Linked DNA regions of Neurospora crassa OR74A. The protein of the gene in region 1 binds, or shares a complex with, the protein of each later gene. Links are inferred from orthologs where the notes say so. Each region holds a gene or a part of one and is shown in the gene's direction. Other genes may lie near its edges. The genes, in order: des, NCU03558 and NCU09119.

The links.
Region 2: the proteins of des (region 1) and NCU03558 are in contact, whole or in part, in a crystal structure (PDB 3ZIA), measured with the Saccharomyces cerevisiae proteins. The link is inferred for Neurospora crassa OR74A from reciprocal best matches to the Saccharomyces cerevisiae genes ATP16 and ATP15. Residues at the interface, in NP_010280.1 of Saccharomyces cerevisiae: His40, Gln73, Leu74, Leu75, Pro76, Phe91, Ile92, Ser93, Gly94, Gly95, Phe96, Ile110, Glu111, Phe113, Glu116, Ser117, Phe118, Ser119, Asn122, Ile123, Leu126, Arg140, Ala143, Glu144, Ala146, Ile147, Gln148, Glu150, Val151, Leu152; in NP_015052.1 of Saccharomyces cerevisiae: Ser2, Trp4, Ala7, Gly8, Ile9, Ser10, Tyr11, Tyr14, Leu15, Val17, Ala18, Ala19, Ala21, Ile22, Arg23, Ser24, Ser25, Leu26, Lys27, Thr28, Leu30, Gln31, Arg38.
Region 3: the proteins of des (region 1) and NCU09119 are in contact, whole or in part, in a crystal structure (PDB 3FKS), measured with the Saccharomyces cerevisiae proteins. The link is inferred for Neurospora crassa OR74A from reciprocal best matches to the Saccharomyces cerevisiae genes ATP16 and ATP3. Residues at the interface, in NP_010280.1 of Saccharomyces cerevisiae: Gln35, Ala37, Leu38, Pro39, His40, Glu41, Thr42, Ser45, Lys57, Val68, Pro69, Thr70, Val71, Gln73, Gly94, Gly95, Phe96, Thr98, Val99, Gln100, Pro101, Asp102, Gln104, Cys106, Thr108, Ala109, Ile110; in NP_009595.1 of Saccharomyces cerevisiae: Ala70, Ser73, Ala74, Lys76, Met77, Glu79, Ala80, Glu81, Leu83, Phe84, Asn87, Phe173, Lys229, Phe230, Glu231, Ile232, Ala236, Asn237, Val238, Asp241, Leu242, Tyr245, Leu252.

What each region holds. Positions count from the first base shown.
Region 1 is NC_026503.1:3,663,776-3,666,822, forward strand, and holds des (ATP synthase subunit delta), read left to right. Parts: upstream 1-1,362; 5' UTR 1,363-1,482; coding exon 1,483-1,584; intron 1,585-1,656; coding exon 1,657-1,686; intron 1,687-1,806; coding exon 1,807-1,960; intron 1,961-2,064; coding exon 2,065-2,243; intron 2,244-2,311; coding exon 2,312-2,344; 3' UTR 2,345-2,443; downstream 2,444-3,047. Other genes in the region: NCU00384 (hypothetical protein), read right to left, coding at 1-297; NCU16680 (hypothetical protein), read left to right, coding at 2,898-2,924. UniProt on the Saccharomyces cerevisiae protein: Mitochondrial membrane ATP synthase (F(1)F(0) ATP synthase or Complex V) produces ATP from ADP in the presence of a proton gradient across the membrane which is generated by electron transport complexes of the respiratory chain.
Region 2 is NC_026502.1:232,535-236,132, forward strand, and holds NCU03558 (hypothetical protein), read left to right. Parts: upstream 1-1,421; 5' UTR 1,422-1,563; coding exon 1,564-1,595; intron 1,596-2,299; coding exon 2,300-2,417; intron 2,418-2,607; coding exon 2,608-2,694; 3' UTR 2,695-3,041; downstream 3,042-3,598. Other genes in the region: NCU03559 (ubiquinol-cytochrome c reductase complex core protein 2), read left to right, coding at 1-439, 503-598; NCU03557 (amino-acid N-acetyltransferase subunit Mak10), read left to right, coding at 3,517-3,553. UniProt on the Saccharomyces cerevisiae protein: Mitochondrial membrane ATP synthase (F(1)F(0) ATP synthase or Complex V) produces ATP from ADP in the presence of a proton gradient across the membrane which is generated by electron transport complexes of the respiratory chain.
Region 3 is NC_026501.1:5,400,868-5,405,096, forward strand, and holds NCU09119 (ATP synthase subunit gamma), read left to right. Parts: upstream 1-1,316; 5' UTR 1,317-1,541; intron 1,542-1,620; 5' UTR 1,621-1,901; coding exon 1,902-1,957; intron 1,958-2,360; coding exon 2,361-2,941; intron 2,942-3,004; coding exon 3,005-3,138; intron 3,139-3,223; coding exon 3,224-3,352; 3' UTR 3,353-3,654; downstream 3,655-4,229. UniProt on the Saccharomyces cerevisiae protein: Mitochondrial membrane ATP synthase (F(1)F(0) ATP synthase or Complex V) produces ATP from ADP in the presence of a proton gradient across the membrane which is generated by electron transport complexes of the respiratory chain.

The sequences.
Region 1 (3,047 bases):
TGTCGGGTCCATTGAAAAGATTTTGATATTGCGGCCGTGAGACAAACCGGCCCTTTTGCGCGCTTGGCTGTGATGGTCTTTCTCGCAAGGCGATAAAGTTGGCAGAAGCAGCTTTTTGGCGATGAAGTGGTTGGCAAAGGCATGGGAGGATACGTTAAGCGTGCGGCTCGCATGGTCTGACTTGTGCATAATACTCGCATTCATCCATGCCAAAAGCAGGAAAGGTCGGTCTTGTCGGGGGAAGATCGACCTTGTAGTGTTGCGTATTCCGGGTCGGATTTGGTGATTCCTGGTCATTTTGACTCTCTGTGGTTGGACCCGACCCCTCCTCATTAGCCCTATGGACCCTTGGTGCAATATGTACATAGCTGCATGAGAATCTCGGTCGTTGTCCGATGGCATACAATTGCAATGGCGTGGATGGATACCAATGAGGGATTCAGAGATAGGCCACGGGGTCCAATGCGCACTCATCATGGGAATCAGCGCTGTGGTTTGCGACATGATGGTCTTTGTTTCGGTCCATCCAACATGGGAGCATGGGCAAGCTGGAGGTGTTCGGTGACAGGCGTCATGAAGCCATCAGGAATCGGAGACCGGGCAGCCAAAGCACCATGAGCCCAAGGTTTCAAGCGCTGACACACCTGGGCCGCCTAAACGATTTATCAGCCGGAAAACTGGAATGAAGTTTAACTTGCCGGTGTTGACGTGCTGAGGTCTTTTTCAGGTCGCACCGCATACAATATGCGCTTGAGGTTATTTCATGATCTGCAAATCCTGGATGGAAATCTAGAACAATGCGAAGATGCAAAGACGACTGGCTGTGAAAGTGAGAAACGACATGGTAGTTTTGAGATGTGCCGTCTCGGCAATGCCCCTGGTGTTGGGTAAATTTTCATGATGTTATTGACCAGGTGAGCCAAAGGGAAGGCCAGCCGATGCAACTGAAGTTCGCGAAACGGAGCCATTGGGAGCTTCACTGCAGTTTGATCGGAATAGGTGAGTGGCTCGTGCTCCGCTGCTGTCGAACGTGGCATGGGGCGTACAGGTATGTCGAACAACGTGGATTTGCTTGGACGAAAGCTTCGATAGAGCGTTAGAAATTAGCTGCATAATCTCTTGGCGCGTAGAATGTGAAGTCGGTGTGTCATCTCCTTTTTGTTGCATCATCGAAAAACGGGAGTTTCCGCAGAGCCAAGAACCATCCCGACCGTGCCCGACGTCAAGGTTCTTTTGCCAAGCTTTTGCCTGGTGCTTCGCTGGAAGACAAGCTCCCTCCAGTGCTCGAGGTGCTGAGGTGCTGAAGCTCTCAGAAGACGGGCCCCGCACAAACATTATTCCTTGTCCCCGGATCCCGGCTAAGCGAATTTGAGGTCGGTACTCCATACTAGCATTGGGCCATTGGCAAAACTGCTTGACGATACGGAACGACCGATCGCGACAACGACGACGGCCTGCCCTCAATTGAGACCGCATATCACCATGAACTCCCTCCGTATTGCTCGTGCCGCCCTCCGGGTGCGCCCCACTGCCGTCCGCGCCCCCCTCCAGCGCAGAGGGTATGCTGAGGCCGTCGCCGACAAGGCATGTTGATGTTCAGAGTCCCAAGCTTCCGTATCGTTATCATAGCTCTAACTGTTGTCGCATGTCATGTAGATCAAGCTCAGCCTTTCCCTCCCTCACCAGGTACGACTGCGACCCGGTCCGATCGATGCTCGACTACGCCCATCCGATGCCACCTTGACATGTGCCCGCGTATGCCATCATGGTCCAGCACCATGGCTGACGAGTTATTGCCGCATATAGGCCATCTACAAGTCCCAGGATGTCGTCCAGGTCAACATCCCCGCCGTCTCCGGTGAGATGGGTGTCCTTGCCAACCACGTTCCCTCCATCGAGCAGCTGAAGCCCGGCCTTGTCGAGGTCATCGAGGAGAGCGGCAGCAACAAGCAGTACTTCCGTACGTCATCGTCCTCCACAACCGCAACCGCAACCGCAGCGGCAGAAGCAACAACAAATGTCGCCATATCAAAGTACCCTTTGGGCTTACACGAGATGTTCTAGTTTCCGGTGGTTTTGCCGTTGTCCAGCCCGGCTCTAAGCTCAGCATCAACGCCGTTGAGGGTTACGCCCTTGAGGACTTCAGCGCCGAGGCCGTCCGCGCCCAGATCGCCGAGGCCCAGAAGATTGTCAGCGGTGGTGGTAGCCAGCAAGACATTGCTGAGGCCCAGGTTGAGCTCGAGGTAAGTTGGAGAGGCGGGTAGTTGGGCGCGATTCCACCGCATCTGTGGTTACTAACGATATGACGTAGGTCCTCGAGTCCCTCCAGGCTGTTCTCAAATAGATGTATCACCATCCTTAATCCTACCCCCATTGTAGCATACACCATGATTTCCTATCTTAGTTAAGGAGACAACACCTGAACATGCTGCTTTGAGTGTGCACAGATCTTGCCTATTGAGGGCCACTAGTGATCGGCCATCGTGACTGCCGCATCTGACAACAGCCGTTTTATTCACTTATGTTTAGGGAGGCACGAGCTTCGCTTACATGAGCAACTTCCGTTTGGCGAAGGGTGAGTATACCCTTACATCTTACGGACTGATCACCGTCAAAAAACCTCCAACTTCACAACCTTGGCTCAATAATCGCGTTACGCCGAATATCATCACCCTTTCCCTACGTAACCTACGATGGACATTCTTAATCAACCTCTTACCCGACCTGGCATTTATCCTGTCGCGCTCAGCAACTGAAAGCGACACAATAGGAGACGCGCATTCCTACTCTGCGCTACCCCCAGCTCGCACATCAACATTATAAAGCTTGTCTCGTTACCACCACTCCGGCTTTATCATAGGCTCAAGACAGGGTTTCCGGAGCGGTTGATACATACTATGCAACGCGATCGGGAAGGCGAACATGTATGTTTGCTCGCAACTAATCCTCCTCCTTTAAGCTAGAATTTGCTGCACCCTGACTTCGCTTTCGGAGAATTAAGCTGCCATACACTGTTGTTTTTACTCACGTCTAACCAGCATCTGCGA
Region 2 (3,598 bases), on another chromosome or scaffold:
TTCCCTTGGCGTCCCCCACCCCGAGACTTCCGTCCTCGTCGGTCTCCTCGGCGGTGTCTCCAACATCAAGTGGTCCCCCGGTTTCAGCCTCCTCGCCAAGGCCACCGCCGCCAACCCCGGCGCCGAGGCCTTTGCTCACAACTACGCCTACTCCGATGCTGGTCTCCTCGCCATCCAGATCACCGGCAAGGGTGCCGCCGTCGGCAAGGTCGCCGTCGAGGCCGTCAAGGGTCTCAAGGCCATCGCTGCCGGTGGTGTCTCCAAGGAGGACCTCACCAAGGCTATCGCCAAGGCCAAGTTCAACCTCCTCTCCGCCAGCGAGGTTTCCGGCACTGGCCTCGTCCACGCCGGTGCCAACCTTCTTGCCGGTGGCAAGCCCATCCAGGTTGCCGAGACCCTCAAGGCTCTTGAGGGCGTTACCGCTGAGAAGCTCCAGGCTGTATGTGTGAACCTACAAGAAGTTGGAAAAGAAAAAAAAGATATGCTAACAAACGTTCAACAGGCTGCCAAGAAGCTCCTTGAGGGCAAGGCTTCCGTTTCCGCCGTCGGTGACCTCCACGTCCTTCCCTATGCTGAGGATCTCGGTCTCAAGGTATAGACGTAGACTAGACTTTGGGGGCGCAGAGCGGGTTGTGCAATTCGTAGTTAATTGAAAGAGGAAATACCTAAACGCAGCGAAACGAACCGATTGAAACTGGAAAGGCGTGGATACTTTTTTGAGAAGACGCCAGGGTTGGGAGACAAAAACCAAAACCGTGTACCAACAGCAAAACCGGCCGGGATGAAGTGTGTTGTAGACCTTTCTCGTTGTGAAGCGGGAGATGAAGAACGAACGGCTGGGGACCGACGACTTTTTGTGCATATACAAACCTCTAGACTTTTTATCATTCCTCGCCACTACTTCTCTAGCAGAGCTATAAAACACAAAATGCAGCAGGCATTATTTCTTTTGTTGACATTGGATACCTGTTACAAACGAGGGTGAAATGTCAAGCTTAAGGAATGAGATGAGATATGCTAGTGAGTTTTACGGCGAAGATAAGTAGTTTGGAAGAGACGAGAATGCTTGAGCTCATTTGAAAGTTTACAAATGCGATAGCACATTCAATGTCAAACATCAATCACACAGGTCCATTCAAAATAGGTATCAGGGGTCGATGTTTACTTTTGACCTTGTTAGGTAAGCTGCCGAGCTTGCCCTGGCGGCGGCGGCGGCGGGCGCCCGTAGCTCCTGTTCCGTCACTGCATGGCATGGAAGGAAGCTTGGGGCGGCGTCTCAGTTGGGGGAGTTGGGGTCACAACTGAAGACAAAAAAAAAGGAGGGGCATCACGTGACACACGACGGAGCTTCGGGCAGCGGAGCTTCTCGGGTTCCCTGGTGTTGGATGTGGATTGGGTGGATGGGTGTGCCAGGGTGGGGACCAGTTTTGTCGAGTCGAGAGTGAACCGAATCGCGCGCAAGCAAGTACCGCAGCAAGCAGCAAGCAGCAGACAGCAACAAGTCTTTCTTCGTTTCACCGTCAAGACAACACCCACCCACCCACCCCACAATCTTCGCCCAACATGGTGTTCGCTTGGAAGGCCGCTGGCATTACGTGAGTATCTTGTCTTTTCGTTTTTATTGGCTTGGGGACGGGGAGAGGCAGGGCAAATAGGGCAGTTTATCGGAAGTGTGGGAGGAAGAAGACCAGAATTGCCGCGACAGAGAGAGAGAGAGAGAGAGAGAGAGAAGGATGGAGGAGGATGATGGGACCAACGAGCCTGCCTACCCACGAACGAGCTCGACAACAGAGATTACAACGATTACATGCGCCGAAATCTGGGGTTGTAATTGCCCCGCGACTTGAAATACGATCGATGGACGACAATCTACGGGCGACCTACAACAGGTGGAATGAGAAAGACTGGGAGAGAAAGAGGACGGAGATAACCCCAGGTCATGGACGACAGCAGGACCCAGGGAAACATTGAGGGAGATCAAGGAGAGAGATAATACACGACACACTTGGTCGAGAAAAGCGCCGAATGTCCATGACATGGAGAGACGGGCCCGAATGCGACAAAAACACCGGAAAGCGAGCAAGCGATGCGTAACGACGACTTCGAAGCAACAAAGCAGGCCAGCATTCATCCAGAGCTACGACAGACATACGCACTACAATCACCAGATAGCGCACGGAATGAGCAACACACGAGGATCAGGAGCAGGGCAAGAGGGGGGAACATAGCAGAGGGGACCGGACGAGAGAAAACAGTACTACAAGACAACGAAGGCTAACACGGTTCACGAAAATTACAGCTACAACCGCTACCTCGCGGTCGCCTCTCGTGCGCTCCGTCGCTCCCTCAAGGAGGATAAGAGAATCATTGCTGAGCGTCGTGGCGAGGCTGCCGAGGTCAAGTTCGCTAAGTGGTCGGTACGTAATAATCTTTTTGTCTTTTGGCTATCGGGGAACAATCAGACAAGAGAAGAAGAAAGAGGAGGGGGGAATGTCACGAGTGAGGAGACGGAGAGAAAAAAAATCATGAAGATGGATGGACACCGGCACTGGACGTAAACAACACGAAAGAGAAGCTAATCACACCCCCTCTCTTTCCAAACTACAGAACGGCAAGCCTGGCGAGACCGTCAACCTCAGCTCCGCCAACGCTGCCGCCGCCGCCGAGAACGCCACCTCCGTTCCCTCTTCTTAAGCGGATCGACACACACACAACCAACACACCGTGACGATGTGCTAGGAATGGTGGTGTAGTGGTGGACCGGGAGATGAGAGAAATAGGGTCATATCGCGAATCGCTCCCGCATGGCACTCAAATCCTCACCTCCTGCCGAGTGTCACTAAGCCCGAAGACGTATGACCTGTATCATCAAACATATTGGGGGAGCGAGGAAGAGAAACTCAATAGACGGTTTATTGGCATTTACTTTGTGAACTGGGTGTGACTGGTTGGAAGTGAATCTGAGTGACATATAAATGAACTTGAAAAAGTGTTAGAATGGGTGTGCCGCTCATTGACAGAGGTAACAGGTCCGAGAGTCGTAGATGTTGCACAAGGGATTCCTTTCCCTGAAGTACAGCGTCTCATTGCCTCTTTGGGCTTCATTGCATGATATGCAAAATACGGTAGGCGCTTATTCGACGAAGCCAGTTGAGTTGAAAGATTGGGTTCTTAAAAATAGAAAATGTGATCAATAAAGAATTGTTTGTCATTTCTTAGCAGCCTCATCAACCCACTGACAAGCGGAAAGTGAGGAAGCTTACCTCTAGGTAGGTATGTACCCGAAAGGGGAGTCGGTCGTTAACATTCGGGCTCACGGACGCTACCAGCAAAGAAGTCCGGGCAGCCAGGCACAGACTCAGGTTCCTCCCCTAACAGAGCCAAACATCACCCGACTTCCTCCACTCACCTAACCACAAACAAACAAATGTTCATCTCAAGTGCATACTAATTACCTTTCCTACGGGAGCCCATCCATAGCTCTTGTAAAAAGAAAAAAAAAAAAAACACAAGACCATGATCCCAGACGACCACCAAGCTGCAGTTCAAAGAGGTTTGTTTCTTTCGCTACAATTCCCAAAATTTCAAATATTTCAAC
Region 3 (4,229 bases), on another chromosome or scaffold:
TAAAGTCTTAATAGATTCTAACTAACATAATTGTACAGCCAAACCACGGAATGTTCTTAGGCAATAATAGCCGTAAGGTATATAGATATTGAAACTCCTATCGAAATTCGCGCTATTTTGATACGCAATATAACTCATCAATAGCAAAAAGACCGATCCGTTTATAGAATTCTAGGGACCGCAATATAGCCTTAAATTTTACACTTATCGCAAGCTCTAGGCTCAGTAAAACATGGGTATAATCGCCGCATTGAATCTAGTCCTAAATATCCCGGTTCTATATACGAATTAGTAGGATTCCAGTATAAAAGGGGGGCAAAAAGCTTACTCTTAGAATTACGTCTTTATCTACCCATACTAGCTTTAAATCTAGCACCTTAGTAGCAATATCATTACGTTAACTTTCCCTAAGCTTAGTAAACAGTACGATTTATATCGTAATTTTATTATACAAAGCTAAAAATACATATAGGACAATACTTTTTCCGTAGCCCATTACCACAACTAATATCGTATCCTTTTATTCGCATACTAGCCGCACTACCACTTAAACCTAGCCTTCTCGAGGCTCTCTATTATTACTAATAATATTTTTCATAACTCTTAGTACGCATTAGGGATTAATAGGGGCATTAACATCGGAATCTATAGCATTGAATGTAGTACTAATAGAATAAAAATTCGAAGAAAAAAAATAATACATCGCAAAGATAAGCGAATTGTACTCGGAGGATAAGACAATTGTAATAATCATACCTACAAAATTTCAAAAAGTTGAGATAAAATATAGTATTGTAGTAAATAGCTAGTCGGCCAACTGACATGTGTCAACACCTAATTTTTTTACGTTTATACAAAAACTTGGCACTTTTATTGGACGCATTAAAAAACTAATTATACTATTAGATTCGTCTCGTCGAGTAGATTCTCCCTATACCCATTAAAGTTCCAGAACTTCCTTTTTTATTTTATTATCATAGAGTCTTACTGGGAAGTTAGTGATTTTATCCCAGCCTCTACAATTCCTATCTGATTGGGAACTCAAACCTCTTTTTTAGGCGTTCTCAATCAATACCGTTAAATATACTAAAAGAATAGATGCACGGACCACAAGTCTGAAAGATTAGAAAGATTCAATTTGAATTTCCGGGCGCGCAGCGCCCTTTCCATTGTACGCGCAGCGCACGGGCCGCAAGCCCCCTTCCCGGCCGCAGGCCGCCCATGCCCAAAAAAGAGGTCTGATTCTGAGATAAGCTAAGTAGGCAGGTTTCAGTGAGGTGGATGGCACGGTGCCCAACAGGAACGGAACAAAAAGAGCTTTTCAAGACAGCCTTCAATTCCACAAGTGAGTTGTACCGCTTGTTCATCTGCAAGTGAGTAGACTGATGCCGCGGTGCAGGATCGCAGGTGCGGGCCAGACCGGGTGCCCCACCCACATGGTAGCTCTGGCAGCTGTCATGGCTGGCAAGAAAGTTTGGCAGAACTCGGCAGCAAGATGGCCTTCCACCTGTGTACATCCGGGCCATAGGTACACTAGATAGGTAAGTGAGGTGCTGCGTGGGGAGCACACCGCAGCTGGCAGGCAGCCAGTAACTAACCAAGCCAATGGCCGGGCAGCAGTCCTCAGCCATTGCCAGGCTCTAGCCGGGAAAAAGGCGAAGGCGCCCGACTGGGGACTGGACAGCGGCACGATGGCGAGCCACACCTCACGAAGAAAGCACGGCCGGAAAGTGAGCAGAGAGCGGAAAGTGTGGAACCGACCTCAGCAAACCTCTCACGCCAATTGCGTCCTATTCCTATTGATCACTCCCCCACGATCAATTGCCGCCTGAATATCAAGTGGTCAACCCCGGGCCACTCCTCTCCAGCAGGTCTCTCCCTCGTCAAATATCCATCTCAACATGCTGTCCAGAGCTGCCCGCCCGGCCCTGAGAGCTGGAGCCGCCGTCTCGTCCCGGTAGGTGCTCTCCCAAGAAAAAAAAAATACCATGTCCTTCTTCCGTAAGAGTGCTCCGTCCGTCTCCGTCCAACATCTCGCCATCTCGCCTCCGTCTGTTCGTCAACCACCGTGCACCAACCGACTACAGCTTCTCGGGGTCTTCGTCTGGCTCTCAGCTCTCTGTGCGACTTGGAAACGAATGCGATTGCGCCGCCAGGTCCCCGATACATGACGTCCGATATATGGAGGGGCAGCACAAGCAAGCAAGCAGGGAACGGGTCGGGTGGGGAGAGAGAGAGAGAAGAGGAGTTGGACACACACACACCCATACGCACACGAGAACGAGAACGGACACGCGATAGCCCCGACACATCGAACCTTGAGACAGAACATGCAGACTGATTGAAGGTCATGACAACAGAGCGGCTGCTCCCGGCGCGGCCACCTTCGCGACTCTCCGTGAAATCGAGACCCGCCTCAAGTCGATTCGCAACATCGAGAAGATCACCAACACCATGAAGATTGTTGCCTCGACCAAGCTCAACCGCGCCCAGCGTGCCATGACCGAGTCCCGCGGCTACGGTGCCACCAGCAACGAGGTCTTCACCTCGGCCGAGACTAAGCCTCTCGAGGCTGAGGGCAAGAAGAAGCTCGTCGTCGTCTGCTCCTCCGACAAGGGTCTCTGCGGTGGTGTCCACTCCGGTCTTGCGCGCTTCATCCGTCGCCGCGCCGCCACCGAGCCTGAGTTCGACATCGTCATCATCGGCGAGAAGGCCAAGGCCCAGCTCTCCCGTACCAACGCCAAGGACATCGTCCTCAACTTCTCCGGTGTTGGCAAGGACATCCCCACCTTCGTCGAGGCCTCTGCCATCGCCGACCAGATCACCCAGCTCAAGGGCGACTACTCTTCCGTTGAGATTGTCTACAACAAGTTCATCAACGCCACCAGCTACGAGCCCACCGTCATTGAGGCATTTTCTGAGGATGCCATCCTCGCTTCCCGTACGTCCTGTCGGCCACCGTGATGCCCGTCGAGGTTCAGTCAGCTGACTAAGTTATATCCAGCCAACTTTTCCGCTTTTGAGGTTGATGAAGAGGTCCTTGGCAACCTCCGCGAGTACGCCCTCGCCAACTCCCTCTACTGGGCTCTCTGCGAGGGTCACGCCTGCGAGATTTCTGCCCGTCGCAACGCCATGGACGTGAGTTCTCCTCCCGTCCCATGCCACCTCTTTGAAGTCGACAGCGGACAGGCTGCTGACGTGAATTCTCTTACCCCTTATCCAGAACGCTTCCAAGAACGCCGGCGAGATGATCAGCAAGTACCAGATTCTCTTCAACCGTACTCGCCAGGCCGTCATTACCGGCGAGTTGGTCGAAATTATCACTGGTGCCACCGCTTCGGCCGATATGTAAACAGCAGCCTAAACAACCGCAGTCTATTAATAGAAGACGAAGATGTATTGAGGGAAAAGGAGAGGGGACCTGAGTAAAAGAAAAGGGTCCAAAGCCGAAATCCATCATCCCTGTCTGCACTCTCAGTTGACATTCAACCATGCCGTTCGAAAGTGTACGAGTATGCGTGGTGTGTGGTATGTCTAGTCCTGGTCCAAAAAGCTGCGTGCCAAATGCCTTCCTTTGTACCAATCAAATGAGCTAGCCTTTCCTTTATTGTACCAACGCCTTCAGTCCATAAATTGTACCACTTCTTTCACACACCTGCCCACTCCGTCGTCAGTAAGCCTTGAAGACATAGCCGCTGTAGTTTCAGTCCACTCAACAAATCTCAGCTGGGATGAGCGCTTGTCAGATGCATGACAATGTCGCTCAGTACAAATTCGTCGGTAAATTCTCAGTAAGCAACCTGACCACGCCGCCGGCCAACTTTCATTCGAAATAAAAGCCGCAGACGGGTGATAAGGGGTGGGGCTTCCATCTCGATGGGTTCGTATATTTGTGAGGAGTTGCTTGTGTTTCCAATATCATCCTGTCTTATCCCGCCTCCATTCCGCGCCGCCGTCGCTTGTTTGGGGCGCTTGATGGGACTGAATGTGTGAAGAGCATGGGAGATGGGATGGAAGTTTCTAATCCTTTTCCGATGTTCAACGGTTAAAAGGACTGGCTGCTTCATTTGCTGTGGAGTTTTGTACATACTCACTTCCCCGCCTGGTTTTAGTATAGGCGACGTTTGCATCTATGCCCTTGGGACAATAATAAAGAGTGGAACAAAGAGTGGCTGTGTGTGTGTGTGTGAAAGTGGAGGTGAAAATAAAGATATGAAGAACGTACTCCC